Linked DNA regions of Astyanax mexicanus. The protein of the gene in region 1 purifies or fractionates together with the protein of each later gene. This does not show direct contact. Links are inferred from orthologs where the notes say so. Each region holds a gene or a part of one and is shown on either strand. Other genes may lie near its edges.

What was found.
Region 2: the proteins of snx8a (region 1) and fbxw7 purify together in Homo sapiens (affinity purification with mass spectrometry; 3 studies listed by BioGRID and IntAct, counting the BioPlex papers as one, with this or other methods). This does not show direct contact. The link is inferred for Astyanax mexicanus from reciprocal best matches to the Homo sapiens genes SNX8 and FBXW7.

The regions. Positions count from the first base shown.
Region 1 is NC_064410.1:56,335,749-56,352,316, reverse strand, and holds the start of snx8a (sorting nexin-8a), read right to left. Parts: upstream 8,162-16,568; 5' UTR 8,089-8,161; coding exon 8,052-8,088; intron 5,900-8,051; coding exon 5,772-5,899; intron 3,913-5,771; coding exon 3,783-3,912; intron 544-3,782; coding exon 353-543; intron 1-352. Other genes in the region: ttyh3a (protein tweety homolog 3), read left to right, coding at 15,979-16,104. UniProt on the Homo sapiens protein: May be involved in several stages of intracellular trafficking. May play a role in intracellular protein transport from early endosomes to the trans-Golgi network.
Region 2 is NC_064432.1:20,339,568-20,356,423, reverse strand, and holds the start of fbxw7 (F-box/WD repeat-containing protein 7), read right to left. Parts: upstream 7,601-16,856; 5' UTR 7,189-7,600; exon of another isoform or gene 7,175-7,188; intron 292-7,174; 5' UTR 214-291; intron 1-213. Other genes in the region: gpr75 (probable G-protein coupled receptor 75), read left to right, coding at 16,001-16,856. UniProt on the Homo sapiens protein: Substrate recognition component of a SCF (SKP1-CUL1-F-box protein) E3 ubiquitin-protein ligase complex which mediates the ubiquitination and subsequent proteasomal degradation of target proteins.

The DNA.
Region 1 (16,568 bases):
AGCATTATTTTCCTTCATTAAGGCTTAAAAAGATAAAAGTGAAACTGAAAGTGAAGCAGTGCTCTTTTCATTATGTAAGTGTCAAACATTAAGACAGTCAGATGTCAGATTAAAAGATGAGTAAACAGCCAAAATGAATATGGATTTGGTCAGACAATCGGATTTGGGCCACTTTTACCTGTTATGTGAATGTAGCCAAAAAACTGAAAATGGATTTTGCTATTCACACTTCTACACATTTAAAATTAACACACCTTCCTCACATATAAAAATCTGATTTTGTCTGCTATGTGTATGTAGCCCCTATGTAAAACCTCCTGCATGTGTTCGACTATGTGTCTCCACTGCTCACCTGACTGGTGACCTGATATTCCACATGTTTGAGGAACAGGCCTTTCTTCTCTGGAATGAGGTCCACCTTTATCGTGTCCTTGCTCAGCAGGTTGGCCAGGGTCAGAGACAGGAGCAGAGGGTTCTCCTGGACCGGCTGCATCCTCAAGTTCTGCAGGTCCTTTGGCTCTCCTAGCTGGGGCTTAGGAAACTCTGTGACAACATGCACACACCACACACACACACACACCATACACTTCATGACTAACAGAAAGGTGCTGACAAAGCTCTATTCAGTCAAGTGTGACTAACAGAAATTCCTATGTACACAACAGAGCAGGTAGTTAAAAGGTCACGTCTGATTAGAGCAGGCCATCAGAAAGTCCCCCGGGTTTTGACGAACAGGACATACTTAATACTAAAGTAAAAAAAATATGAAGAAAAACATATAGAATTATTTAGTAAACAAAAACATGTTAAACAAAGCAGAATGGTTTCAGTTAGCAGCTGTGCTGAACTCATCAAGAGTTAATTACTTAACTTTTTTGTCCTCTTAATGTCTTTAAGAGCATCAGTTGTAAAGAGGTAGAGTTCAAGAACTTTGAAAGTATCCTAATGAGCATTATGATGAAACTGGCTCTCATCAGGACCACCCCAGGAAAAGAAGAGCAAGAGTTACATCTGTTGCACAGGATAAGCTAATAATACGTTATTACAAGACTCCTTATGTGTTCCTTCATAATTTGAATGACTTCAGTGTTACTTTACAATATAGGGGAAACAAAAATAACATTAATAAACATATATTAATCATATATAATACATTTTTGGGCACAGAATCATTGTTAGTCATGTGACAATGTTACATAATAGCAATTCTGAGGGCGGGAGAAACAAGTCAGGAAGTTGACTCTGCAAAATACCACACAGGAGGACAGGAGGCAAGATAACAAAAAAAAACATCTCTATTATCTTGTACAGTTACATGCCAGAAAGTAGTTCATGGAAATAGTGTCCCATGACTTTTTTTGCAATGTCTTATGTAGACTGAAGAATGCTATTCTGACTTGAGTCACATGTCTGTTCCCAATAATAACTTCTATTCATATTAATTAATAATATTAACCTTCTCTGACAAACAATATGAAATGTCAAATCCCTCTGATACCTACTTTTAGGCCTCTCTCCAACTCACTTACAAGGTAACACCTCAGAACTTATACAGGTGTGGGAATTCTCAAGTCACGGGAATTCAATTTACATACTGTTATCCCCTGATTCTTTGTACATTAATGTACAATCTTTTACTTTGCCTAGGTTTTACCAAACTTTCCAAAATGAATAAAAATCAAATTTTACAGATACACAGAATAATATACTGAATATATACAAAGTAGACAACAGCCACAGAGTCTGTGTTTGGTGATGCAAAGCCCGGTTTCTCCGGCACATTCCACACAAAGGCCTGGGTGGAGTGAAATGGCATGTGACAGACGGGAAAGCTCATGCTTCAGGGAGAAACAGGACACATCAGCTTTCGCTCCTCGCAGCTGAGCTGCCACAAGGCCAGCACCTGAAATAACACCAGGCGCCCTAAAATAATGCAGTTCTGAAAGAGAGCTTTAGCTTGAGGTTACGAAGATGAAGAAAAAAGCCACCGTTCAGAACAATGTCGGCTTTAAACGCAAGCAGACGGAGTTCTCAGACTCTTATTCTGACCACATGCACACAAACCAAAGAAACCATTAGGATTGGCTTTAGGATGCAGATATCAAATTTACAGCAAAACTAAATGGCCTGCAATATAATCACTGTGACGCTGAGAGTCTCACAGAGTGGGAGCCCAGTCAGGCTAAAGCACAGAAAGTGCTGACCTAGATGTTGCTTTTTTTTTATTCTCAGTGAAAGCAATGATTACACAACTCATAATGTATCTGTGAGAACGTTCTAGACCAGGAATCGGGAAAGACTGAAGGACTCTTCAGACTTTTTTTTTCAGGGTTTTCAGATATCTCTGCTTTATGTTGTCCATTCACTACACGACTTTGAAAAAACTCTAAAAAAAAAGACTTTTAAAAAGACAGACTAAAGTCCGACAACCTCTCACATCTAAAGACAAGTCACAGATTTTTTATTCACAGACCAAGACTTTGCTAAGACTGGGGATTACTATTTCTGAGATGATTTCCCATCATGCTTCTGGTGGAGTTTAAATACAATACATAATACGTATTAAGTTACACATAATGTCTATATTAATACTGTGTTTTATCAGAGAATCACAACTTTTGTCCCCATCAACTGTTTATTTTTCTGCCACACTGTTAGTTCTTAATATTTTATTAATAGAATATATTTTGTGTTCAACCCTTTTTTTGCTACAACCTTGTATAGCAAAGAATCATAATCTCACTGCTATACATTTGTTTTAGATCAATTTTATGCAATAAAGAACAACATTCTTGCAAAATGTGTATTTATTAAACTTGTACAGTAGTGCAAAACAAAATAATTTTAAATATAATGATGGAAAAGTGCTAACTGTGTTTAAAATACTGTACATATTAAAGTAAGAACCATATAAGGTATATTAACTGCAAAATGTGTTCTTTTATAAATCGCTTGGAAACAGTCACGTAAATTGTTCTTGCTTTGCGGCTTCCCGTAGCTCTCCTATTGGTTGTTGACATTGTTAATGTCACTATTTGCGTGAGCTGAGTCTCAAGACGCCAGGATAAGAAAAAGACTTTCATGATTTTATCCCGACTTTGAAAATTTGTCTGCAACAGTGAAATTGCTTAAAAATCATTAAGAGTCCAGACAGTCAACCATTACATAACCTGTACTTGTAAACCTAGACGTAGGTGGGAGAGGAGTGACTACACACTGACGGTCACTGTCTACTTTATGCAAATAGATGGTGCCTGAGGTCAATTGGAAAGGTGTGAGTTTTCTCATTTAATCTTTGCTGCCCAAACATTAGGCACAGCCAAAATATCACAATATTTAACTGAACCAACTTAACAGTTCACAATACAAGACTTAAAGACATGATCTACGCACTCTTTCTGTCTGAACATTCTCACATTGCAGGATTTTTACTACTTAATTGTTATAAAAAATATATTTTAACCATACAAGTAACTGGAACCTATAAAACAGCGAGTAAGTAAGAAGTTCATTTTGTTGCTAACTGGGTAAAGTCACAGCAGCTATTAGATTTTACAGTGCAGGAATCCAGCACTCCAGGACCTTCAGGCACATGATAGGAGGCATGACGTATCTTCTGAATGCTGACGCGCAGAAAACTGTGCCTTTACTAGCTCCCACTATGGCAGCACATGACCCGTTATATGGAGTAATTCATTTAGGGCCAGTCAGAGAGACGTTTGTCCATAAAATGCTTGGTGAATTTCATTTCCACGGGAGAGGTCAAATGGGCTGCTACTTACCTTGTATGCAGTGCTCCAGGAGCTTAGGGCTGGGGTGCTTTCCTTGTTGAGCAAGCGCAATCAGAGCCAAGGCCTTGTAGAAGGATACCTTACTTAGGAAGCCGTTGCCATTATCGACATGTTCTGTAATCTGGAGGAAAGACAGAAGTGTTGCTGTTATCTGGAGTGAAGATAAGAGCCTTTAAAAGTGTCACAAGTGTTCATGTGCTTTCAACACACTACTATGTAGACTCTACAGTACTAGACTGTAGAGTCTTGAACTACATCAATATACTAGTGCATCAAAAAAAAATCATTGAAAAGTTACTTTATTTCACTAATTCAGTTCAGAATGTAAAACTCATTCATCGTTTATTTCTTTTATTGTTGTTGATTATGGCTTACAGCCAATAAAAACCCAAAAATCAGTGTCTCAGAAAATTAATTAGTACTTTTGGCAGTGTGGGCAGTGTACCAAGTCCTGCTGGAAAATGAAATCTTCATCTCCATAAAAGTTGTCAGTAGCAGAGGGAAGCATGAAGTGCTGTAAGATTTTGTGGGAAAACAAAACTGCACTGACTTTAGACTTGATAGAACACAGTGGATCAACACCAGCAGATGACAGACATGACTCTCCAAACCATCACTGATCATTTTATTTTCCATTTCATTTGTAAATCAAGGGAGCAGAGTCTGGAGAAAGAGTGGCGAGACACGCAGTCCAAACTGCTTGAGGTCTAGTGTGAATAGTAGAATAAATGTTTCCCTCCCTCTGAACAGAATGAGTGCGATGATATTGGAATTTTATCGAACGATAAATGTCTACATTTTTCAAATCAATACTTGCTGATGTATTTATTATATACCAGAAAAAGACAAAGCAATGCTGGTCGCACTACTACAGTTGGCCAACACTTCGTTGTTTGGTGCGGTGCAGTGGATAACACCACTACCTGCCAGGGAGCTATGGTACTGGGGTTCAATTCCCGGTCTGAATTAAAATGCTGCACTACACTAATAAGAGTCCTTGGGCAAGATGAAGTCAGCCACCGCCTCTTTTTAAACTGCTGCTGATGCAGCATTGCCAAGTAGCATCACTGAGCGCTCGGAGGAAAGCGCAGCCACTCAGTTCTGATACATCAGCTCACAGACGCCTTGTGCTGATCGACATCACCCTAGGAGTGATGTGGGGAGAGAGTGCCATCTACCCACCCAGAGAGAGAACAAGACCAATTGTGCTTTCTCTCAGGGCTCTGGCAGCTGACAGCAAGCTACATGAACGGGATTCGAACCAGCGATTTCCCAATCATAGTGGCAGCGCTTTAGTATGCTGGACCACTCGGAGCCCTGATTCATGCTTTTTATTTAAATGAATTTTAATATTTCTATTGTTTATTTAACCTGTTAAATTAAAAAACGGTTTAATATTATAATAAACTGTTATTATAACTGTTACTATACTATTATTATAAACTGTTATAAACTGTTTATTGAAGCTGTAACCTATGAAGTCTATGCAAGGACCAGGTAGCTAAATCAATGTAAAACAAAATCAAATATTTTAGGAGAAAACTTTTATTTTATTGTTTTTATGTTTATTGTTTTATTTGTAAAGTTATGCCAGTGTGTCTAGTCTATTTGTAAATTATAATTATGTATATTAGCATTGGCAGACATATACAAGTGTATTATTGGATATCAGCATTTATTTTTCAAGACAACAGAGAGGTTTAATCCCAAATTACAGTCAGACTACTCCCTCATTACTGCACTATACATGTATAAGGCAGGAAATTACAGATTCTAAATGTAAATAGAGTATTTAATATTAGTGATTGAACAGTATATACAATTCATCATATGTGAGTTTTCAAAAAGCTCCTGCACCGAGAGCATTTTGTAAAAGCTCTGTTTTCAGTGACCAGTGGGAGGAACAGGAGGCCAAAACACATATATTTTTAGAAATATCCAGATGCATGTGGTCAGGGCCGTACTGTGACATTAACCAACCTGGTTCTGCTGGTTGAGCGAGAGATCGGTTCCGTTGAGAAGTCTGTGGAACACATCGATTTGCACTCGTTCGTCTGTCCTGCTGCTGATAGCCTGATGCACTTCTCGATAATACAGAGGGACTGATCCTGAGGTTGAGGCAGAACAGATAAATAATTATATTACAGGCCCTAAAACATACAGTTTTGACCAATATGTAACATTACAGTTTAACCAAACACAAACAGAGAGGTGAAGAGGAGAATAAAACCACACTCAAGTAAAAGTCAAACTAGAAGTAATGACTTTTGGACATTACGAGGAGCTGCCCTTTCATTCATGAAGTACACACACACTTAAACGTTACACACTTACAGAAAATACAATTTCTTCAGTGTAACATAATGTAAAACATTACTCCATTACCCCTGTGCAACTAAGAGGCAATGCGCAATTATTTTTAAATACAGTCTTAAGAGTTCTTTACTGTTTATTATTTATATTGTACTATTTATTTTATATATTTTTTTGTGCCATGCTTTCCCTTTGCTGCTGTAATACTGTGAATTTCCCCACTAAGGGACTAAAAAAGGTTTAAAAAGGATCTCTAATAAAGTCAGCTACAGCTACAAGTAGGCCTGGCTATATAATTGGGATAATACAATGTGTTGCCAATTTAAGACGCATTATGCCACTGATATAATGATATTACAGCAGCATAATAATACATGTATACATTATATTGAAAGGGCAATGAATGGTTAAGGATTATGAACTTCCAGAGACTTAAAATTAAAGTAATCTAAAGTACATGAAATATAATACTTTACAATAAGAGTACATTAATTAACAATACTTACGGCAGAATTTCTCAACTAATTATTAAACGACACTAGTTAAGACATTAGTAAGCACTGACATTTTTAATAATGTCATAAGTAGTGTTGATTACACTACTTGACCATTTTACGATGTTTATTACTGTCGTAAGTATTGTTAATTGTGACCCTTAATATTATATTATAGTTTTAAGTTATACCAAATAAGTAAAACACAAAAACACTGTTATTAAACCAAGCATCAATTGCCTTCTTTAAATGAATGGGCTCTTCTTATTAAAACTAAACTAAAACCAAGCTTTTTTATTTATTGAGGTTATATCTGTATAGTGTGATTTGTTGATATTTACATAACTATGCTATAATGTTGGATATGTTAATTAAACTGACTAAAACAAGAAAAAACAAGGTACTCTAAAAAAGCTGAAAATATATCTTGCTTTCTCTTCTTTTCACATTGTTAGTACTTTTCTTCTTGTATTGTTTTTGTTCTTAATATCTTGTATTTTTTTCTGTATTATGTCTTACATTTATTTCTAATTTTCCAATCTTATTTATTTTCATTCTGTTTTAAATGTAAGTTCTTTCCCTTTAATTTATAATTTTTTATAACTTTCTTTTTAACTTGTTCTACACTGAGTCTTAAATCTTTCTGTAAAGCACTTTGAATTGCCTATCCTACACACACACACACACACACACACACACACACACACACAAACACACACACACACTCCTACAAAGAAATAACCACTGCGTCCCAATATAACCTCAAATTTGTCTGTCTGTCTGTCTGTCTGTCTCATTTCCATGCTGTGCTCTCAGCCCAGGACCTGAACCTCCATCCTGATCCTTGCTTACGCAACAGGTCCTCAGTTTCCTGGCGTTCTGTCTTTTATTATGGGGGGGATACTTTTCACTATTTGCCCTGTGTCCCCCCCCCCCCCCCCCCTTCCATTCCTCTAAACGCATCTTTACTCAAAGCCTGCATAGATGCCCCCTGAGGAAACCCTGGCAACATGTATAGGCTGCTGAGACCCTCTCAGAATGACAACCAGCAGGTCACACTGGTAAACAGAGCCAAGCCAGTGGGAACAAACTGTTCCCTGCTGGACAGATACTGCTTTATACAACACCTGGAACACCTGGAACAGCTGGATCAGCTGGATTCAGTCTATACAGACTATTCGCACCTCTTTTACTACTTGTTTAAGCCTTTTTTTTCAACAGGTGAGACCTGTCGATGTATACATCCTGCAGTGTCCCATTACTCCACTGCTTTTCCATCAAAAAACTCTGTATGAGTCTTATTTAAACACCACCAGACAGTTATATCTTCTTCTCAAGAACGAGAACGAGCCAAAAACCCAAGCCCAAGACCTAAATCGACCTCAAACGACGTCTGGAACCACTTGTTCCTAAATGATCTGTAGAAAATAGTTTGATTTCTTTCTCAAATTACCTTCATTCAGCTCTCCTTCCATAGTCCAGGCTGTCATGTGAGTGCACCAACACCTCCATGTGATTTCCTGAAGGAAAAGGGAAAACAGCACTTTTCTACTGCCTGGAGTTGGAACGATATGCATTTGTTTCACACCTGTTTTCAGGTTGGTCCCGCCCCCTTTGCGAGGATTGGCTACAACAGTAGACCAGCGTTCCACTTGGAGGCTCTTGTGCACCAGGATTGGCCCCCACTAGGACTATCCCCTTTCCCTGGGCTACGATTGGTCTGTGCTAGCCAATCAGCACGCAGTCCCACCTCTTGCCGGAGAACAGGTGTGGTATTTGGAAAGTGTGTGGGCGGAGCTAGCCGTCACAGTGGAGGGAGGAGAAGTTTTAAAGCAGACCCAGCTCTCCCCCGTCGTGGTGTGGGAGGGAACCAGTGGCAGGTTCTCTCTCACCACCAACTGCACAGTTTCACATCTGTTTCTGAGCCTCTGGCTGGCTGTGGAGGTCTGATGTGGACTTTAACGCTTTGCTGTTCTGTTATGGACGCAGATTTATATGGGATTATAGTGGTGCTTAAAAATGTGTGAACTCATTTGTGAATTTTCTATAGTTCTGCATAAATATGACCTAAAACATAGTCAGATTTTTAAACAAAAAATATCAAGACAAAACAAATTGTACTTGGTTGTTCATTTGTTGAGGAAAATGATCTAATATTACATATTTTGTGAGTGGCAAAAGTATGTGGTGGGGCTTCGAGTGGCTCTGAGTGGTTTAGCAAACTAAGGTGCTGCCACTAAGATCAGGAGATCGCTGGTTCGAATCCTGGTCATGAATCATGAGAGAGCAAAATTGGCCTTGTTCTCTCTGGGCGGGTAGATGATGCTCTTTCCCCTCATTACTCCAAAGGGTGATGTCGATCGGCACAAGGCGTCTGTGAGCTGATGTATCAGAACCGAGTCGCTGAGCTTTCCTCCCAAGAGTGCTGTGATGCTACTCTGCAGCAGTCGAGAAAGGAAGCAGTGGCTGACTTCACATGTATTGGAGGAGGCATGTGCTGGTCTTCACCCTCATGGTGTAGGGTTATTGTCCTTATAAATGTGTTACCGTGATAGGATGCAGCCCCTGTGCAACAAGTCCAGTAGTAAAATTTCCCCACTACTAAATATTCCACAGCCAACTGTCAGTATTATTGTAACACAGTGGAAGAGACTGGGAACGACAGCGACTCTCTCAGTGTGAAATAACAGAGCAGAGTCAGCAGATGCTGGGGAGCATAGTGCACAGAGTTCACCAACTTTCTGCAGAGTCACTACACCAATCACTACACACCTCCAAACTTCATGTAGCTTCAGAGTTCATCACTACACACCTCCAAACTTCATGTAGCTTCAGAGTTCATCATCACTACACACCTCCAAACTTCATGTAGCTTCAGAATTCATCACTACACACCTTCAAACTTCATGTAGCTTCAGAGTTACTACATCACTACACACCTCCAAACTTCATGTAGCTTCAGAGTTCATCACTACACACCTCTAAACTACATGTAGCTTCAGAGTTACTACATCACTACACACCTCCAAACTTCATGTAGCTTCAGAGTTTATCATCACTACACACCTCCAAACTTCATGTAGCTTCAGAGTTCATCATCACTACACACCTCCAAACTTCATGTAGCTTCAGAGTTCATCACTACACACCTCCAAACTTCATGTAGCTTCAGAGGTCATCAATACACACCTCTAAACTACATGTAGCTTCAGATTAGTTCATCACTACACACCTCCAAACTTCATGTAGCTTCAGAGTTCATCATCACTACACACCTCCAAACTTCATGTAGCTTCAGAATTCATCACTACACACCTTCAAACTTCATGTAGCTTCAGAGTTACTACATCACTACACACCTCCAAACTTCATGTAGCTTCAGAGTTCATCACTACACACCTTCAAACTTCATGTAGCTTCAGAGTTCATCACTACACACCTCAAACTTCATGTAGCTTCAGAGTTCATCACTACACACCTCCAAACTTAATGCAGCTTCAGAGTTTATCACTACACACCTCAAACTTCATGTAGCTTCAGAGTTCATCACTGCACACCTCCAAACTTCATGTAGCTTCAGAGTTCATCACTACACACCTCAAACTTCATGTAGCTTCAGAGTTCATCACTACAAACCTCCAAACTTCATGTACCTTCAGAGTTCATCACTACTACACACCTCCAAACCTCATGTAGCTTCAGAGTTCATCACTACACACCTTCAAACTTCATGTAGCTTCAGATTAGATCATCAACAGTAGAGTGTAGAGAGACTCATGGAATGGAGAGTTTACATGACCGAGCAGCTCTATCCAAGCCTCACATCATCAAACGCAGCAATGCAGGCCAGCAGATACTTTTATAGGCAATATAGTGCCTATAAAACCATGCTGGCCATTAACCATGCTGGCCAGTTTTCACATTTAAACCCCATCTTAACACCTCACAATTATACAATATAAAGAAATAAAGTAACACTTAATGTTCAATTTACATACCGATATCCTATGACAAGCCTTTCATTCAGTTTGCACAGTGCAAATTTGTGAGCTTAAGCTTACTTATTAGCTACAACAGCCATCACTTATCACCTATTACCTTCCGTAAAAAGTAAAAAAGCAGACTTTGCACACCAAAATATATCTTAGCTGACAGCTGTTTTTTTGAAACTATGAAACTGTATTACGTACAGTGGAAGGTCTTGAAGATTCTTAAACTTCATGTCCAGTCCCAGACACTAACTTCTCTATGAAACACAGAGTAAATGTCTCACACTCTGTTGTAAGAAGTGTTTTGGTTGTTTGGTAACTAAGTATAGAGGTCTGGCCTTGCCGGCAGTTTGGTGGACGTTTTCCTTCCCCATATTTATACTTCTCTATAATCAGATCCCTAATGCATTTATAATGATATTTTGTCTTCATTCTTCATTTATGTTTCTATTAATATTCACTAATCATAGTGTGAGATCATACCAAGGAAAGTGTGTGGGTATGCGAAGGGCTAGGTTTGCTCTGAGAGGTTAATTACATCACTCTATTTCAGTCAGGGTTTATCTGGTCATACAAAACTTTACATCTGTAATGGGTTATCCTCTTATTAATGATATATATACAGCTCTGGGAAAAAAAAAAAAAAACTAAGAGACCACTTAAAAAATGATGAGTTTCTTTGATTTCACCAATATGAAAACCTCTGGAATATAATCAAGAGGAAGATGGATGATCACAAGCCATCAAACCAAGCTGAACTGCTTGAATTTTTGCACCAGGAGTGGCATAAAGTTCCAAAAGCAGTGTGTAAGACTGGTGGAGGAGAACATGCCAAGATGCATGAAAACCGGGATTAAACAACAGGGATATTCCACCAAATACTGATTTCTAAACTCTTAAAACTTTATGAACTTTATAAATGAGGTCTAAAAGCTCTGCATCCTTTTTGTTATTTCAGACATTTCTCATTTTCTGCGAATAAATGCTCTAAATGACTTTTTTTTTGTTTGTAAATTGGGAGAAATGTTGTCTGTAGTTTATAGACTAAAACAATCTTCATTTTACTCAAACATATACATATATAAATAGCAAAATCAGAGAAACTAATTCAGAAACTTTTCTTTTTCTAATTCAGAAATTTCTCCAGAGCTCTATAATAATGTCCATATATTCTTGTATTTTTAATAGCTTGGATTCTTTGGCAAATAAAACTGTCTATACCTCACCATCAATAGAAAATAGAAAAGTCCTTCGTACTGGTAAGGGTTGTGATTGGTCCTAACAGGAATCATTGGACACCAGGCTGGAATATTTTCTATTGTTCTGTGTTTTGATTTGTCTGAGTATGTTTCTTATTGTATTGTGTTGTTGCTGCTGGATGCCTAAATTTCCTTCGGGATGACTAAAGTATCTATCTATCTATCTATCTATCTATCTATCTATCTATCTATCTATCTATCTATCTATCTATCTATCTATCTATCTATCTATCTAGTCCTGGACAAGGCATCAGCCCATTGCAGGGTATCACAGGGCAAGTTACCATTTAGCCAAAATTTTAGTTTAACTTATTACTTATTTAACTTACAGTAGGAGTACAAAGAAATGGAAAAGCGAATGCAGAAAATGTCAGGCACATTGGAAAAATTACTATTTTTACGTGGCCACTAATTATGTTTTTTTTTTTTTTTTTACACATGATGTCACCTTAATAAAATTATACAGTGTCCAGTGTGTGACCTGATCTTCGGTGTGCTGTGTGTCAGTCTGGCCGCTGGATGTCCCTGTTCTCTAGGTTTAGGCAGCGGCTGCTCCTCCGCCCGGCGGCTCGGTGCGGTGGGTAGGTGCAGGCTGGGGCTGCTGCAGTGTGGGGCATCAGTCGGTGCGGTTCACACGCTGGATAAAGGATTTACCCGCGGAGCTCCGACTCAGAAAGCGGAGACATCGATTAATCTGCGTGTTTGGTGGACTGAATACTGACCACGTTCACTGGAGCTCCAGAAACTAACAGAGAACCAGAGAGAGAGAGGAGCCAGACTGGAGCATGAGCGCGGCGGACACGGGCAATCACAGCGGCTGGGTCGAGTAGCATAGCCCGGCTGAACATGAAGATCAGACGGCTGATGGATCTCCAGGACTAGCTCGAAAACAACAGCAGGAATAGGGGATTTATCCGGCCGACTGCAGAGCCTTCAATTCGGGTTTGTAGGCTTGGCTTTTTGGGGTCGTGTCGGTGCGGGTTTGTGGTGTATAATTTGATTGCTGGCTGAGATTTAGACTGGGCTTAATCTAGCTAGTAGCGTTGCTAGGTTAGCTAGTTAGCTTAGCTAGCGTTGCTAGGTTAGTTAGCTGAGATAGCTAGCTTCCAATAACAACAATAAAGGGTCCGGCATTTAACCTAGAAGTATTCGAATGGAGATAAACAGCTAAATATATAACAATAGAGATATATCTAACGTTTAACACAATTAGTTCAATCTTAAATCTCTTTATTCTTCTGTTTAAAGCCTAAATTAATGGAAATATTGAACAACAAAGCCATTCTAGACCCGCTTGATGTTATCAACACTGGACTGACTCTATCTCAGGCTGACACAATGATAAGGCAGTGTAATGAAAAATATAGCTAATATCTGGCTAATTAATAAGACATTGCATATTATTAATCGTATTATTAATAATACATTTCAAGAAAGGACGTGCAGAGGAGCTGGACTTGAAACTACAAATGACCCTAAAGACCCTGAACACCACCACAACCTCCTGGAGTGTTTAAACCCTTCTGAAAAAATGGTTCAAGACCAGCTTTTATTCTGGTGTCTAGTTTTAGATGGTCTTAGTTGGTTGTTAATGGTCATGGTGGTTGAAATTATGCTGGTAACCCTGGCAAAAACGACAGTATGCTGGTAAACTAGCTGTTGAACCAGTCCTTGCTAGTATAGAGTATGCTTTATTTGGTTTTGGTCATACTGGCCATGCTAGTCTTGCTGGTAATGGTCAAGCTTGGGTATAGTGGTTATGTAGCTTGGTCAGGTTTATCTACCTAGCTAATTAATCACATATTGCATATTATTAGCCATATTATTAATAGTAAATGGTGAGAAATGACATGTAGAGGGGCTGGACTTGAAACTACAAATGACCCCAAAGACCCTGAACACCACCACAACCTCCTGGAGTGTTTAAACCCTGCTGAAAATCATTTCAAGACCAGCTTCTGTTCTGGTGGCTAGTTTTAGATGGTCTTAGCTGGTTGTTAATGGACATTTTGGTTGAAATTATGCTGGTAACCCTGGCAAAAACGACAGTATGCTGGTAAAGTTGGTGGTGAACCAGTTCTTACCAGTATACGGAATGTTGTATTTTGGTCATGCTGGCCATGCTAGTCTTGTTGCTCTTGCTGGTAATGGTCAAGCTTGGTTATGGTGGTTATGTAGTTTGGTCAGGTTGATCTAAAGTTACCTAGCTAGGGTAATTAACCACACCTTGCATATTATTAGCCATATTGTTCGTAGTACAGGTCGAGAAAGGACATGCATAGGAGCTGGACTTGACCCAGGTGGTCTTTAACTGGATTTTTCACCAGGGTCTGAACACTCCTGGAGACACCACAACCTCCTGGAGTTTTTAAACCCTGCAGAAAATCCAGTTCCAAACCAGATTTTGTTCTGGTGGCTGGTTTTAGATGGTCCAAGCTGGTTGTTGAGTGTAATGGTGGTTGAAATTAAGCTGGTGACCCTGACGAAAATGACAGTATGCTGGTAAACTTGCTGGTGAACTAGTTCTTGCCAGTTTAGGGTATGATGTATTTGCTTTTTGTCATACTGGTCATGCTAGTCTTGCTGGTAATGGTCAAGCTTGGTTATTAGCGATTATGTAGCTCGGTCTTGTTGATTTTAGTAGTCAACCAGCATGGTTAAGCTTGGTTTTGCTGGTCTAAGTTTAAACTGATCGATTAGTTAGCTTGGTAATAATGGGACATATTGAGCAATCATAGCCAAAATGAAGTCATCATAGTCTACTTCAATGTTATCAACACTGGACTGACTCCATCTCAAGCTGACACAACGATTAAGTAATGTATTGATACCTATAGTATTGCTAATATCTACAATATACATGTATAACACAGACTGCAGATTATAAGCCTTATTGTTATAAATTGTGTTGAAGGACGTGCAGATGATCTGAAATTGAGACTACAAATGACTCAAAAGACAAAAGACATCCAGTGAAATATCCAGCTCAAAGCCAGCTTTTGAGACTATTATCGTCATGCTGGTTGAAATTTAGCTGTTAACCCAGGCAAAAAACAGATACTATACTAGTAAACTAGCTGGTGAACCAGTTCTTCCCAGTGTAGCTTGGTTATAGTGGTTATGTAACTTGGCTAGGTTAATCACACTGGTCCAACCACCTTGGTCACCTTGGTGTTGTTTATCATTGTAGTCAATAGTCGACCAGCACGGTTGAGCATAGTCATGCTGGTTGAAAGCTAAGCCATCAACTAGTTTGGTGATACTGGGGCACTAAGACCAGCTTTTGGGTCTTTGATGGTCAAGGTCATTAAAAAGTGGTAACCTTAGCAAAAAATTACACCATGCTGGTAAACTAGGTGTATAGGTGTATTTGGCCATTTGGCCATTCTGTTTTTGTTAGTCTTGCTGGTAATGGTGAAGCTTGATAATAGTGGTTATGTAACTTTGTCAGGTTGGTCATAATGGTCAAGCAGTATGATCTTGTTAGTCTTGGTGAAGCTGTACTGTTTGGAATCTTTGTCAATTAGCTTGGTCTTGCTGGTCCAGCTGTTTTACCAGCATGGTCATGCCAATCTTGTAGGACTTACTGGTCAGCCAACTTGGTCAAACATGGTTATAATGGTTATTTAGCTTGGTAAAGTTGACCCTTGTAGACCAACTACTAAACCATCAAACAAATCAATTAAAAACAGACCCTGGTTAAAGATGCTATGGTCGAGCAGCTTAACCAGCGTTACCGTCTTGACTTTATTTTCAGGTTAGCATGACGGTTTAGAAATAATGTGTAAAAGCATAATTATGCTACTCTATTGTCATACTTATTATTAGTGATGTAAAATAGTCTTAGTTAAGTATTTCTGGCACAGTGTATAAATCCAATAAATTGAGGTTATCACACAATCATGGCTAAAGCAATGTGATCATGCTTATATAGCTAATGTCTAAAATAGATTATTCATGCTATTATATGTAACAGATGTCAAGAAAGGGCACTCTGAGGGTCTGGACACCTGCCTGAACACCTGAGTGTTCACAGATTGCTGTTATTTCTGTCTTTACCATCCTATCTATCTTAAATCATCCATGCCACTATCTTCTTCAGTTAAGTCTTTCTCCGTTACTGTAGGTGAGAATGGCCGCCGTAGTGAATTACTCTCCACCATGGTGGGTCAACCTTCTTCATCGCCTTCCTCACTTCAACCTGCAGTTTGAGCAAACCAGCAGTGATTTCCGACCTGAGGATTCATCCTACCAACAGGTAAGAGTCTTAGAATGTATCTGTGACCCTTTAAGGCTCTTGTTTACTGTAACACATTTCATATGTCATTATTATAACTTTTAGGATAAATTTGCAGTGTAGTTATGTATTAATACATATATTTCACAGATATTATGTAATTTTAGTGATGGGTATATGTCTAGATGCCGTGTGGAGTGCTGTGTAGAACACTACTGCCAAAGAAGCAGATACAGCTCGCTAGGTAATGTTAGTCAGTTAGCATAACGAGCTGATACACTGGAGTGATGGTACCTCAACTCTGTGGAGTCAAACACTCAATCTTGCCTGGAGAAAAATGAGAATAGCACTTTATCTGAGGAGCTCCTGCTGCTATTCCTCACTGAATGAGTGTTTTTAATTCGAGTAAAATAGAAAAACAACAGCAAACCTGCAATTATTCACTCAGAAAAGAGTTCAAAGGCATTCAAAGTTCCTTTCATTCC
Region 2 (16,856 bases), on another chromosome or scaffold:
TAATGAGGATAAGTTAGAACACATATGGTTACCCTGTGTTACAGTGAGGTAGAGATGAAGAACAAGAGACAGACAGGGAGAAAGTTGGCAGGACAGAGAGAGACAGAGAGAGATAGACAGACAGTAGATGTTTTATCCACCGTAAGACCTGCCCTCTCTCTGTCTGTAGGTTAATCCACACTAATAGACCTTAAGGCACTTTAACTAACCTACCAGATGCTCAGCTACTTACAGGTGGCCACCAGACTTTCACCAGGGCTGGTTCTACAGCTAGCTTCTGGCTCAGCAAAGCTAGAAACAGACATACAACAATGTAGAGTTTAATTTTCCTAAGTAGAGAATATACATTGGTCAAGCATAACATGACACTGTCCATTGTTCAGCACTAATGATAAATAGAGCACTTTGTAGTTCTACAATTACAGTCTGTGGTCCTTCAGTTTCTCTACATGCTTTATTATACAACTTCCCCCTGAACTTCAAATGCCCAGGACCAATGGCTGGTGTGAGAGAGAGAGACACAGCAGGGCTGCTAGAGTTTTTAAACACCCCATTGTCACTACTGGTCTGAGAATATCTGAAACTGTTTATATAAAATAAAATTAACATTTCTTGCAATAGCATATTCTTAAAAGAATACAATTAGTGTTAAATATGGCCCTAAAATAATATCATGAGATTTTTGGCCATATTTCAGAACAAGTGAGAAAGCAAGTGAGCATCAGACAGTTTCACTGGTGTATGTAAACTTTCTCACAGCGCTCTGATACAGTCTGGTTGCGAAAGGTCTTTCCCCAGAGGAGGCAGAGATAATCTGCTGTTATAAGAACGATAAATGTTCCCATTATTATATTTAGGTTGCATCATTCAATGTTTTGGCATGAAGTTGCACTCAGCTGGCACCCAGTGGTCCCCCAGGAAGGAAATATCCAGAATCGAGGCTCAGTTTGCCCTAATAAACCATGGGAAGGTACTGGGAAAACTGATCCACCAGAATTACATCAAGAATTAAATACGCAGAACTAAAGCCACTTAACCTCAAAAAAAAAAAAAAAAAAAGCAGCAAAAGCAGCAAAAAATCTGTCAAGCAGATGATGCCTAACTTTTCTCTCTCCCGTCTCTCTCTCTATTTCTCAAACACAGACACAGATAGATCTCAGAACTCAACAGTAACTTGTTAGTTTGTAGATACTGAATACCTTACAGTACATATGGAATGCCTCACAATAGACACAAAATGCCTCAATAGATATGGAATACCCCATAATATATACAGAATACCTCACAGAACATATAGAACACCCTAAAAAAGTTAGAGAGCACCACACAATAAATATAAAATACCTCCTAATACATAGAACTGAACTAATGACTTGAGCAAAAAAGACCAATATAGAACAGCATTAGACTCTAAATTAATGTGATTTCACCATAACTAACAAATTATACATTGTGCAGCCCTATTAAAAGACTACTTAAAGACTAATAGTCTACACTGGCACTAAACTCCATTCCCAATTGAGGTTTTACCAATAACCTGTAAAAGCAATAAAACACCTGCAGTTCAAACAGAGAGACATAAAACATGGCAAAAAAGGTATCAGCTGTCCAGATAAAAGAAAGTACTGTGTGTGTGTGTGTGTGTGTGTGTGTGTGTGTGTGTGTGTGTGTGTGTGTGTGTGTGAGAGAGATCTCTAAATAATTCACATTGCTCAGAGCTCTAACCAGCCGACAGACACGGGCTGTTTCCATGACACTGCAACAAAGGGGGCCAACAGGGGTCCGAGCACGAGGGGCTCTGTGTCCCTAAAGTGGGTGAAAAGTAGAGACTAGTATTTAAAGCATTTTGAAATAAATAAAAAAATCTAAATCCATAAACAGATACTGTTATGGCTCATAAAAAAAATGTAAAAGAATGTTTAAAAAAAATGAAATTCACAGTTTGCATTTAACTTGGCCTGTGTCTCCAAAGGTGCCCGAACATAACAGGTTACACAAATTGAACATTTAAACATATTCTGGGTACTTACAGGGCATTAAATCCAACGTTTAGGTGTTTTCTATTTTAAATGAAAAGGGGGGCATTGACTAATCACTAAACACTGACTAATCAACTAATCATAAAAAAATAATCATCAGATTAGTCAACTACCAACCAGTGAATTTGTACCTTTGAATATGCTGTGCAAAGAGATATAAATTACATTTACTAATTTATTTGTTTTATTCACATTGTTAAAAATAAAACTGCTTAAAATGGTTCCTCAGAGAAATATTTAAAGACATTTTCATGATAGAAGCACTGTTTTGACAAGCAAACAAAAAGCATTAGCAATGGCAGACTAACTAACTAAAAATTGCTATTCAAACACTTTCATGCATAGCACCACATTTTTATTCCGTTTTGCTGCACATAATCTAGTTAGATTTTGTACTCTGTTATAAAATGAACAACATGGTCAGTGTTCTTTACACAATTATGATATCCATGATTTGCATCTTAAAAAGAATATGGTTGAAATGTTAAAATAATCATCACACCTTCAATCTACTGGGTATTATAAATGTAAGCAATTATGTGAGCACTCAAGTGCCCTAATCTTAAATGTCCTGTATTCTCTCACTCTCTCCACTTCCTGTCTGCTGCAGCATTCACTTCCTCTCTCCTTCCTTTCATTTATCAGTCTCTTTCCTCTGGCCGCTGCATCCTAACAGGAACCCCACAGGGCAGCAACACAGCACACATTCAAAGAACAGACCCACACTGCTAATCTAAACCAAACAAACTGCATTATACTCCCAGCATTATTTGCATAGGCTAAAGAGCAAATGCATAACACCCATCTGTAAATAGCTCAGCAGCAACATCACTGACCCTGCAACCTGTGTACTCATCTTTCATATTTTCATCCAATATTCACAGAATAAAGAACAGGACACATGCGTTAAACATAAGTGAATGGAGCTCAGAGCAATTCTTCACATACACTGATCAAGCATAACATTATATAGTTTCTACACCCATTATCCACCATTCCAGCTCCACTGAGCATTTAGGACTTTTTATAGTTCTATATTTGCTGGTTATAGTCATTCTGTTTGCCTGTATACTTTTTCGTCTTTTTTCAATCTGCTCTTCAATGATCAGGACCCCAAAGGACCACCACAGAGCAGTTATTATTTGGGTCAGTATATCAGTGTGTGATGCGATAGTACACGTGCAGAGAATAGTCCACCAGCATAGTCCTGAAGGAAATGTCCTGTGACTACTGATGAAGGACCAGAGATGACATACACAAACTGTTCAGCAACCGACGAGCTTCATTCTCTAAAGCTACTATGGGTAGAAGTGCCTCAGAGTACAGTAAGCAGACACAATAAGATGAGAAAACACCTTCCATAATATGACATACTTTGTAGTGAAACATGCTATCGGGGAGGGTGTGTGAGCAAGCTCCTTGACACACAGGGGTGTTAGGAGGGGGAGGTGAAACATTACATCATTAGTTCATACTAATGTTGCTCACACACAGATGCACGGTGAGGTCATTAAAACATCACAAACATATCATGCTTGATGAATATTGTGCTCCACAAAACATACTCCATATTAGTATAACGGAATTCAGACAAAGCTTTGCTAACTGAACAGTTGAGCCCTGGTCTTAGTGTTTCCCTGTAAATAAGCCACACACCTTAAGCGCTGTGTAGGACAGGAACGAACACAGTGGATTTGACCACAGTAATTACATAATAAACACATGTAGGCAAAAGGCAATGGACATTTCATAACAAGCTAAATTGCAACAGAAGCAGTTGTTACAGCACAGCACATTTCTTTTTGACCTAAGGATGCAATTCATTACAAAAAAAATATGAGAAAAACATGAATTACCTATTTTCAAAACGTTCTGTATAATTTAGAGGCCGAATCAGTATTTTGAATATCAGAAGTAAGAAAATAGAATAATCTAACATGATCAATTTGTCTAGCCGAGACACAGGCCGAGACACAGGCCGAGACACAGGCCGAGACACAGGCCGAGACACAGGCCGAGACACAGGCCGAGACACAGGCCGAGACACAGGCCTCATATTGCCCACCCCTTTCTATATGTTTATAAAAGGTTAAAAAAAGGACATGTGACTCAAGCGAAAAAAAAATTCTGTTGAATGAACACCCTGTATGTATTTACGGATCCCAAGAGGAGCCGTGGATAAAGAAAAAAAAAAAAAAAAAAAATATATATATATATATATATATATATATATATATATATATATATATATATATATATATATATATATATATATATTTAATCAAGCGAATCATATAGCAGTTCGTGCTGACATTTTCTTTAATTCGAGTGAACAATTTGCAATTCACGCTCACAATTTCTTTAATCCGTGCTTGATTATTATGAAAACTGCCCAGTCAAATAAACATAAAACATTGTATTAATTATTTTAGATATGCTATTTTGATTTTATATAGTGTTACAGATTTAAAGCAACTCTTATATGAGACATTCATAGACAACTGTCACACACTGCAAGTTATTTTATTCCACTTACAGCTTACAAATGACATAACGAGTAAGTCATTCCTTACAGCATATGTGGGCAGAAAAATGTAAGGTCAATCAGGGTACAGCACTCACAGAAAGATGCTGGACAACCAATTCCTAAGTGTTGGAAATGATGCAGTAAAATTCTTTTCACCTAAAATGAGTTGATTATTTTTATTACAAAAATGATAACAGAACATTACAACCACAATAAACCACTTTATTTTATTAAGGAAAATATTATCCTCAAGTGGAGACAAAGAAAGAACTTCCACTTTGACTAGACCACTATTTTAGCAAAGCTATGTAGTTAACTCCAGCTGATGAACACTACTGCACCCCAGAAAAAAAGATCTGAAAGTTACTTAGAAGTTAACTTTCAATATCTAACCCTGGGTGCACCTTAGTTAGCTATAACGCTATTTTAATAACCTTAAAAACGTGCAAACGCTCAGAACTGAAGGAATACAACAAACACAAACTTTGAATAGTTAATAACTTTCGCTCCAAGCCGGCCACTCCACGCTCATCACGTAGCTCCAGGCTGGATCACCAGCTAGATAGCTGCTAGCAGGTCACAGATGTAGCTAGGTTGTGTGTATCCAGTTGAACATTTTTTTTATTTAAACTTCTGCCAAAGCACAGGCTGGCTTTTTCACAGCACAGAGCATTCAAAACCAGAGTTATTCACCAGCTGCAGGGAACAGGCAGAGGACTTAAAGCCAGTTAGCTAAAGATAGAAAGGTAGTTAGCCAACTAGCAGGCTAGCCAGACCTTCTCTCCAGAACTTGAAGCTGAAAACCCCCCTTCCCCCCCCCCCCCCCCCACTATCCATGGGTTTCACACCACATTTATACATGGCTTTGAACGATTAAAAAGAACAACCCAAATTAATAGAAGCACATTTTCTGCTATAAGCAGAATGGCGCTCTGGTTAGCCAGCTAGCTATACAAGCAAGCTAACTAACCTAGCTATAGCAATAGCTCAATAGCTGGCTACGTTAGCCACCAGCAAGCTCGTTAGCTTAGCATTATCTAGCCACGGAGCTAACCCAAGTCAAAACCAAATGCTTCCCGGTGTAGTGAGGTGGTTTATGCAGCCTTCAACTCCACATTGGAAGCTCGTTTTTGGTGTAGATTAAACAATGTGTTATGATATAATATTTAATATTGTTATTTGACGTCAATGAAGCACTCGAATGCTTGATATTTCTTGAACCTTATCTTATCTAATACAGTTATGTTTTAATTTGATATTCTTTAAACTAGGTAGATCATCATCTGATGGTCCTTGACTGACTTCTTGTAGCTAAAAACACACTGAACTGCTTTTATATATTGTTATTTAAGATACCTTATAATTCATATTTTATATATAACGTTTTAATACTATTCCACTACTAACGTTACACTTTTATTTTATTTTTTTATTTTTCGGCTTTACGTTTTTAAACCGTTAAACTATGATTAACACATACCTGTTTTAATATGCAGAGCAAAGTGGATAATGAATAATCATGTTTTTTTTTTTATAAAACATTATTAATGCGTGAAGATTACTTGTTAGGTTTTCTGAAATATATGAAGAAAACAAACGTGTTGATAGTGTAAATTAAAGAGATTCATCTTCGGTCAACCACAGCCACCTCTCCTTCACTCTCAACCCCTAAAGAACTGCTTGGCCTGGGCAGACTATGCAGTTCAAGTGGTTTTGTTTGAAAACAACAAGGAAAGTAACATTTTTTAAGGAAAAGTTTGTTTTTTTTTGCCTCATGTTCCTAGAAACCTATTTACAAACACTGCAAACAAAACAAGCTAATAAAAACAATCATGTTATGGGCTTTAAAGTTTAAAGTGCAGCAATAGTTTTTTGCTCAGCGTTACAGGGGATACATCTAAAATGACTATTTCTACTCTTACTAAAGTAATTGTAGATATCTACAAGTACATTTTTATTAGTTAAGCAGAAGTATGTGGTTAATTATGGTTAAGCAAAAATAAGATTCAGATTAAGTGTAACGTTAAATCAAATGTAGGTTAGTTAGCTAGCTTTAGCTAGCTACTTAACGCTTCGTAACATATGAATAATAAAATTACATTAGGTCTAGTCAGAATAATGATATTACCTAGAGATGTAAACCTGATAATATTACTAAACAATGTCTTTTAATAGCGGAATTATGGAGTGAGTGTTTCAGCTAGCATGGTTGGCATTAGAGATAAATTAGATTAAGCAAACTTGGCTTATGAAACAAAGTCAGTATATATACGTTTATGACATGGGTTTGGTTTTGAAACGGCCAGGCTTGCCTTTTAACGATATTGTGCATTTAAATTGAAGTAAAGACATTTCTAACCAGCCAACACAGCTAGTATTAGATAGGTATGCTAAGCTAACTGGCTAGCTAGCTAGCTACCCAGAGGTAGCACAGGCTAATATAGCCGCTCTCCTCTCTCCGTTAGCATGAACGATTAGCTATTAGCTTAGCTGGGCTAGCTAGTTAGCTTTTCGCTTCGCCTCTCTCAGCTCGCAGTGTCCCTCGCCAGCTTCTTACACTCATATTTACCAACAATAAGCAACAATTGACCAACAGAAACAAACAGACCGGGCTGTTTTCACCTTCGAGCGAAGCTACGTCAGTCCGCCGCGCGCCTAGCGGCTCGCTTTTCCCGGACTTCTGCTCCCGCTGTTGTTTTCAGGGTCTCCTCTCAGCCCAGGAGCGACTCGCGGTACCGGTGGTTCTCGCGCCGACTTCGCGGTCCCCCGCGTTCACTCTCTGGGACTCGTAGCTAGGCAACGCTCGCTAGCCGAAGCGGCGCGTGCTGGCTAATATAAAAAAAAAACCCAACGCCTCTTCTGAGCGTTTAGGACGCCGACCGCGAACGTTCCCGGTTCAGGCTGCTCCGCGCTCGAGCGGCTCTTCCCGAGGAGTGTAGTTAGTTTTTATTGGGAGTTTCTTTGATCTCCGCCGCGTGCAGTGCTGCTAGAATCCCGCAGGCTCCGCGCTCGCGACTCTCACACAAACACACACATACACGAACCAGCGCGAGAGCGAGACCCACACTGAAGCAATGAACGAGTCGTGTGTACGAATCGGCCCATTTGAACCGGCTGGTGCGGTTCTAAATAAAAGAACCGATTCGAGAGTAAAAGTTGACTAAATAGTTAACCCTTAGCTTAGAGAATATTTTTGTATGTTTCATAGGTTACAATCCATAAATTACCCTAAGCTAGCTAAGTGGCTGTGTGGCAATGCTTTTGTGCTTGTTGTTTTTTTTGCAGTTGTTTACACTCACTGCTCAAATCTGAAAATATATAAAATATATATGAAATATAAGTATACAATATATTTTTACATTTGTTTGTTTGTATCTTTGATTTTGATTCGTAGTCTTTTGCTCATTTGTTATGTTGTGTGCCATCTGAATGAAGGGAACGAAAACGATTCGATAGAATCGATTCACCGAACCCAACCCCGACAATAGAATCGGTTCGTTAAACTGAATCAAACTGAAACATCACTCGACAAGCTCCAGAGCTTCAGGCTCACAGTGATGATGTCGGTCAGATCCCGACCACGCCCCCCTCCCCCCAACCTGCAGTCGCTGGGTTGTGATGTACGATGCACGTGGACCCACATTTAAGGGAACAAACTAAACTCAGAAAGAAAGATAGAGTGATAATTGTCTTAAACATTTTGATGCAAATGATAATACTTGTTTGCCAAACAGTAAATATGTAAAGCAGAATCTTTGTGTGTGTGTTTTTTTTTTTTTCATTTTTTTCTAAATCATAAATTATAAATTATAAATGATGGATGATTATGTTCCACATCCATGTACATTTTTTAAAATGTAAATTCTACTATTTCTTGTAACATAAAAACTCATTTAAGTCAACTAGTCATAGTGTTTGTGTGAGTATGTGTGTTTGTTTGCAGTGGCTGATCATAGTGTGCACACATGCTTTAGCCCATTTAGCAAAAGATTGTTAAATCAAACTTAATTTTTCAATTTCATTAGAAACTGATTTATTTTTGTTCACATTTTGTGAACATTAAAGATGTTTGTATTCTACCATTATTACTTATATTTGTTTCTGCATTGGAACAGTAAAAGGGACTGCATCATCATTATTATTATAAAGAAGACACCCACAAATCCCCTATCCTGTTATATGAACATTGATTCAATGTCTGAATTGTAATATTTACTGAAACTGGCGAGTCCATTATAAATAAAGGTTGTATAGGTGTTGTTGTTTTTTTTCAATATCAACATTAAAAGGTGTAATACAACAATAATTTCTTCAATGTTCTTTGCTACCTGGGATTAGATTTAAGGGTGTAAATGCTGTAAAACAATGTGGAAAAGAGGTTATTTTTTAAGCACTGTACCGCTCCCCTGGCTCTCTCACTTGCTCTGCTGTTTGGCGTCTCGTGTTAATTCCCATGTTCAGTATCTTAATCTAGCAGAAACAGGCTGAAGCACCAAAGAATGTGTTTCTGAGAAGCGTAGAATTGACACTGGCGTCCTGCCAAGCCAGGCTGAAGAGGAGGCCTCTGGCCTGCAGGAAAAAGAGGGTTTCAGCATTCAGAGACAGGCCAGCAGAAAAAAAATATATATATACTGTAAAATAATTCCTTCTACCCATCTTCCATCTCATTCTCTCTTCAGCAGTGCAAAGTATTTACAGTAGGCCTGTCACAATGAATGTTTTTGTTCTAATGATAAATTGTCCTAAAGATAATTGCCATAAACAATACTATTGTCATTGTAAGACAGTTTAATGCAAAAAGGTTTAAAAGCACAGGACTTTGGATAATTAAGAATATTCATAATAATCTTAGGTACCTTTTAACATACCTTCTATACACACAGGAGATGTTTCTTTACCCCTCTAATCTAAACAGGTTGGTTATCTAATGTTGCCTTCCTTTTACCTTAGCAATTGTGTACAGTATTAGATCACCTTTGGTTTTGATTACAGGCACTTTGACAGCCCAAAATTACATAAATTTTTGAGTACACACAATATTTCAAAAGGACAATGCTTATTTACATAATGCTGCAGTAGACACAGATACTGTGACATGGCCACCCAAATCGTCAGATCCGTCCCCGAGTGAAAATGTGTAACAATTGTGGAAAAAAAAATTGAGACCTTTTGGAGAAAAAAAAATCTAGGCATTCTATACACACAAAATAATATACACACTTGACAGCCCAATGGTGCATTAATAAGCTTCTGTAACAGGTGTCCAACCTTTCTGAACACACACTCCTATGTACTTATTCCAACAGGACAATCCTCATCCACATACTGCTAAAGAGCTTCCCTTAAAGATACAAGAGCCATGGGCATAGTTCTGCCGATCCCTGACACCCTTAGGAGCCTCTATGGAAAACTCTATTACATGCTGAGACATTTGACATGTTGCATAACACATGCATTATAGACTACTTCTGTATGTGTAGTTGAATAAATATTGCCCATTTAATTTCCTTCTGAATAGCATTACAATCCCACACTTTTTTTCTAATGCAACTATTTTTGAAACTATTTCATTAGCAGTGAATCTACATTAAGATTCCTAATGAAGACCATAAAAAATGTTAAATAAAAGCTAAAATAAAATTCCATAGTAGTATAGTCTCATATACACACACCACACATACTGTAAACTCATATCAGACATCAGCGAGTGAATGCCAGACAGAGCAGAAAAGTCTTGGAGAGGACAACTACAACAAATGAGTTCCATCTGGTTCTGTTTTTCAGTGCTATCGCTACACAAAGAACTACAAAAAAAAAAAAAAAAAAAAAAACAGAACAGAACATTTCCCTGCAGCCGGACCTGTTCACCCTCCACAAACTTCACCTCTCTCTCTCTCTTTCTTCGGCTCACACTGACGCTCGATCGAGGTTCAAGTTCCTTCCTGGAAGACAACCTGCTTTTCTAGTCCGATCTTTTACCAGATGCTTGGAGGGAGGGGAGCAGAGGAAGCCTGTGATGTCATGGAATAGCAAGACCCTAAAAAAAGGAGGAATGTGAGGAATTTAAACTCCTCATACAGACAATTATAAATACATTTCCTAACACAGTCTCTCATGGAATTTATGTACACTGATGAGCCAAAACATTATGACCAAGCCAGTTGATGCTGGAGGGCCAATTGCACAGGTCTAAAAGATAAAAAAAAAAAACCTGCAGTCTTCAAGTTTAGCTCTAACCCTTGTTAATTATAATTTCCTCCACCCCTCACCTCACTTCTTTCTCAGTGACAACAAAAAATGCTGCTTCCCTCCTATGTTCCTCCTGTTTTTACCATTTCACTAACAATAGGTTAAATATATGAATTTTGAAGCACCAATTTTTGGCTAGTAGAATGTTTTCTCAATGTTACAGTTAAAGTTCTTTGGATATTCAATCTGTTAAGTTTTTTAATATCTTTTGAACATTGTCATTTAACGTTTTAAAACATGGTAATGTCACCATTTATGTTTATCATTTTGTGAATGTTACTTTTGATGTTACCGTTCCGTTAATATTTGTCTAGCTGGGAACGTAATGTAAAAAATGGTCTAATAATGTTGTGATGCAAACCATAATTATGTCACATTTTCAGAATGTTATACACACAAAAGCCTATACACACAATACTGTACTGTATTTTATTTAGTGTGGGCCATAAAATAAACCATTGAAAAATTGTGCCCATTTATTTCTTTCACAATGACGCCATCTGCTGGTTACAGCTTTACTGTCACTGTAAGTGAACAACCCTCTAGCTTCAATGTTTCCACTTCTGCACCACTTCACACACTTTACAATTATCTTACTCGTTCCCCACTGTTACCCATCACTATAAATGACGAAGTTCTCCTGGAAAAGACTCAACAGGACAGTGTGAATCCACCCAAAGGTCACAAAGATTGCAAGCAACTTCACAGCTGGAACAAATGACCAAATTACTGATCTATCCAGGTCCTTAATATTAATTTCTATTACGTTTTATACTCTTGGCTTTCGGGTTATGTTAGAAAGGAGTAGGAGGTGAGTGCCAGAAGAGCAGCAGGTGAGCAGCAGGAGGGTGCCATGTGAGCAACAAATGAGTACCAGAAGAGATATCACCAAATGAGATAAGCAATAGTTAAGCAGTAGGTGAGGGCCAGAAGAGCAGTAGATGAGCAGCAAGTGAGTGGTGGAAGAGTGGCAGATGAGTGCCAGAAGAGTGGCAGGTGAGCAACAGGTGAGTGCCAAAAAAGCGGCAAGTGAGCAACAGGTGAGTGTAAGCAGAGCAGCAGAAGAGTGGCAGGTGAGCAAAAGATGAGTGCCAGAAGAGCAGTAGATGAGCAGCAGGTGAGTGCCAGAAGAATGGCAGATGAGTGCCAGAAAAGTGGCAGGTGAGCAACTGGTGAGTGCCAGGAGAGCAGCAGAAGAGTGGCAGGTAAGTGCCAGGAGAGCGGCAGAAGAGTGGCAGGTAAGTGCCAGGAGAGCGGCAGAAGAGTGGCAGGTGAGCAGCAGGTGAGCAATAGGCTCAGCATACTGTGCTCTCCTATCTACAGATCATGGTATTCTCTACCTGTTTACTTTCCTCAACCATTCCCAACATGACAGCCAGGTTTGAGCGCACTTTTCAGAACTGATGGAGGATGAGCAGCTGCAGGTATACGCAGAAACTCCTGCCCACACACAGAAAACAAAACAAACAAAAAAAGTGAATATGTGAATATACACTGATCAAACTTAACATTATGAACACCTTGTTTCAGTGTTTTTAAACACTGTGTTCCCTCGCTGTACACTTTATTAGCACTCTGAAGCTCATCTGTTACTGCACAATTTATGTTGATTTATGTTGATCATCCACTAGTCCTTCACAGAACATTGCCCTCAGGATGCTGCCCTCAGGACGATACCTGCAAACAGATTGGTGAATCATTTCCAGTCTAGCAGTGCCACTAAGGAAGATAATACAGTATTTTGAGAAAAAATACTAAGAACCACAGTCTATAATAACAGAACTAAAAAGTGTGCTATATGATCAGTGGAGCTGATGTGTGTAGGAACTTGGAGGTGGTCATAATTTTGAGCCTGATCAGTAGGTAAGAAACAAACAAAAGAAAAGTGTGGTCTTTAAATTGGATATATTATATTTCGACTGGGGGTAATGGACACATTGGTTGAGAATTATTGTCACAGTGCATATTTATAATAATTAAATAAACAAATGAATAAATACATATGTGTATTTTGCCGATTATGACGTGCAATAAAGCGAATAAAGCGCAAGCTTTTTAGTGATTCAGCATTCCCTCTCTCCTTTCATCCTCCTGTTCTTCCTCTCATTCTCTTCCCAGGTGTTACCATAGCAACACCTGGCTGCCGGGGTATTTCTGTCTCCATGGCAACTGGGCAGCAGATTTCTGAAGAGTGGGGGTGGGCAAAAAAACCCACCTTTTCTTACATATGGAAGGACAGTGGGTTTAACTGCCGGCTGATCTACACTCAGCTCCGGGCTGCTGACGCAACGTCTGCACTGAGGACGTCACACAGCTCAGCAGCACGAGTCGGTAAGAGAACCTGGAAGGATGTCATACTGAAATTGGTCACTTCCTTTTTGCATTAATAATAAAATCATTCAAAAATGCTGCACAACATCTATCTGTGTAATATTTAATATTTTTATGTAAAGATATAGAACAGAACTGGTACACAATATTAATATATATATATATATATATATATATATATATATATATATATATATATATATATATATATAGTGTGTATTATGTTGTATCTTTTTTAACATGTATGTTTGGAACACTCATTTTTTTTTGGAAAGATCTATCCAGTTATGTTTCAGTTATATTCTAATAAAGCTCACTGCAGTGTAGGTACACCGCTGTCAAATACAAAATATTTTTTGTCGATTTTTAAATTTACTACATAATTTGAACACATAATCCCTTAATACACTGTCTAAACATTCCTTGATAAATGGACCAATAGAAATTCTCTAAAATTACCTAAAATATTTTTACATTGACTTCCACTGAAAATTAAGAAAGTTTTATATTTCTCCTGCTGTTTTGTTTATTTGCTTATCTTTTTTTATCTGGGATGCCCTTGATTGTTATATGTGGTGTGCTTGCTAAATGAAAAAAAAAGAAAGAAAACTTTGAACTGCAATTGTGTCTCATTTGTTAATGTATGAAACCTGCTATTTAAATGAAGCATATTATTATTATTTTATTTTATTTTACTAAGATATTCGTCAAGCACGTCTGTTAATGTTTTAAAAAAAAAAAACAGTTAACATATTTAAACGTATATAATTGTATTGGTTTTATCCTTGTACTTTTAGGTTGTCATATTAATCAGAATTTGTATTCATACTTTATTTGTACTTTTAAATTTTAGAATTTAAGGAGCTCCAGTTACTCGCTTTGTATTGTTAGGTTATTGTTTGTTTTTATTGTCTTAATTTGTAATAGAATTTATATATATATATATATATATATATATATATATATATATATATATATATATATATATATATATATATATATATATATATACCTGTAAATGTATGGAATGCACTATTTTATAGCATTATTATTATTATTATTATTATTATTATTATTATTATTATTATTATTATTATTATTATTATTATTATATAATAGCTCCCTCACTTGCTCGCTCACTACGGAGGGTGCAGGTCTAGGGCTGAAGTGAAGCACTCAACCCCGCCTCCTCTGATTTTCACAGCAAAAGACAGGCTTTCCTCTCCTCTCCTCCATCACCGCTCCTCTCCTCCTTCATCCTGCTGAAATAAAGGATTCAGTAATAAACCTGGACCCGTATCTCGGGGGGAAAATGGGAAAGAAGCGGGACATCACGGTAAGAATCGCTTTTTTTCCAGTGCTGAGGAAAACACGTCATTCTATTTTGCAGAAGAGCTTCACGCACAAAAACCGATGATCTGACTGAAAACGGAGCGATAATGGCGTGTCCTGCTGCTCAGACGCTGTTTCTCAGCATATCTGTCATAAATGGGGGGCACAGTGTGTAGTAGTGTGGTCGCGTATGAAGCGATATATATAAAAACCTCCGACACTATGTATCTGTTTAAATGGGCGTTATGAAAGCCCAGCTCTGTGTTGACAGGCCCCTGCTGAAAAAGCAGCATGACCAGCTCAAGCTGGACAAACTGGTTAATCTGGTTGACCACAATTTGACTCAATATAGGGTGTAATTTTGATCAATCAGACCAACCAATATGATCTGGTTTGATTATGCTGGATGAACAATATGACCATCATGACCAAGATCTGATTAATCAGCCAGCCTTCCTGCCTAAGGTAGCTATGATTTGTCTGGATGACCAGCTTCATCTATCTTAACCATCTACTTCTAACATCCAGTTTAGACCATGCAAAACCAGCAACAAGCACAAGCCTGAACAAACTGGTTGACAACTGTTTTACTCCTGACCAGCATAGGGTATTTTTTGGGGGATGATGGCTACAACCATGATTATGAACAAGCCTGGCCATACTGATTGACCAACAGCACCAGTATGACCAAAATCATCAACCAAATAAAACATACTACATACTATACTGGTCAAGAGTTGAAAACCAGCTAGCCTACTAGTATATGCTATGTTTTATTCTAGATGACCAAGGTCAACCACCTTAACAATCCACTCTAACCATCTAGTTTAAACCATCCAAAACCAGCTACCAGCTCAAGCTGGATAAATTGGTTAATATAGTTGCCCACAGTTTGACTGGTTGACCATTCCTGATCAGCAGAGGGTATATTTTTGTTAAATTGTTCTACAACTGTAATTAACTTGATCAAGCTAGACAACCAGTATGATCTAATCAAATTATGCTGGCCAGGAGCTGGTTATCCCAGCTATCTTACCAGAATATGGTATGTTTTTGTATAGATGACCAGCTACAACCACTTTACTGTCCACCTCAACCATTTAGTTTAAACCATCCGAAACCAGCTACCAGCTCAATCTTGACATGGTAGTTAATCTGGTTGACCAAAGTTTAATCTGGTATAAGTCAGTTTATGATTTTAAACTAAATTATCATCACCAAAATTAACAACCATTAAAACTGCTGGTCAGTGTCAGCCTTTATGCCATTAGGCCCAGGATCCTTCATTGTTCAGGTGTCCTCTGTTGTAAAATCTTTAATGAATTCACCAACAACAGGAGTCTTCTTTCTATTTTTTTTATAAGCTTTTTAAAGTCCTACTCATAATTAGACTCATTGTCCCCCTCTTTGTCCTGTAGTACTCCAAGAGAACAAACAGCTCCGAACACTGGACCTCGCCGGACCCTGCGCGAAAGGCAAAGTAGGAAGACTATCCTGCTACCTGCTATCCAGACCTGTCTTCATGTGTACGATGAACAGCACTGCCTGGCCCTTGGACCTGGCAGACACCACACAGCGCCAGGCCTTTAACAACACCTCAGGGCAGGGTTCAGCCCCCAGCGGCTGGGATTTGATCCACACAGCCACACTGGCCTCCTGCTCTATGCTCCTTATCGTCATCTTCTGCCTGGGCTCCTATGGCAATCTGGTGGTGTTCCTGTCATTTTTCGACCCCGCCTTCCGCAAATTCCGCACCAACTTTGATTTCATGATTCTCAACTTGTCTTTCTGTGACCTGTTCATCTGCTGTGTCACCGCACCCATGTTCGCTCTTGTGCTCTTCCTGGACGCAGGGGACGATGGTGGCAGCGTCTCTAAGGGCTTTTGCTTTGCCTTTCATCTCACCAGCTCAGGTTTCATCATCATGTCCCTAGAGACAGTGGCTGTGATTGCCCTGCATCGGCTGCGCATGGTCCTGGGCCAGCAGCCAAACCACACTGCCTCCTTCCCTTGCACTCTGGCGCTTACCGCTCTGCTGTGGACCTCTAGTTTCACACTGGCAGTTTTGGTCACTTTGAGAGCCTACCCCAGGACCCCGGGTCCCTGCCTGCCCCATTTTGGCCTCACAGGCAACCAGGCCAAGGTGGTATTGTATGTGTACCTTGCAGATTTTGCCTTCTGTGTGGGTGTGGTGTCCATCTCGTACTTGATGATTGCCCAAGCACTGCGCAAGAATGCCCAGGTTCGTAAGTGCCCTATCATCACAGTAGATGCCACACGTCCGCAGGGCCCTCCACCACCCTTCATTGTTGCTGGATTTGAGAGCATGCAGTGTGCTGTCCAGGTCCCCTCGTTGTACCGCAACCAGACCTACAACA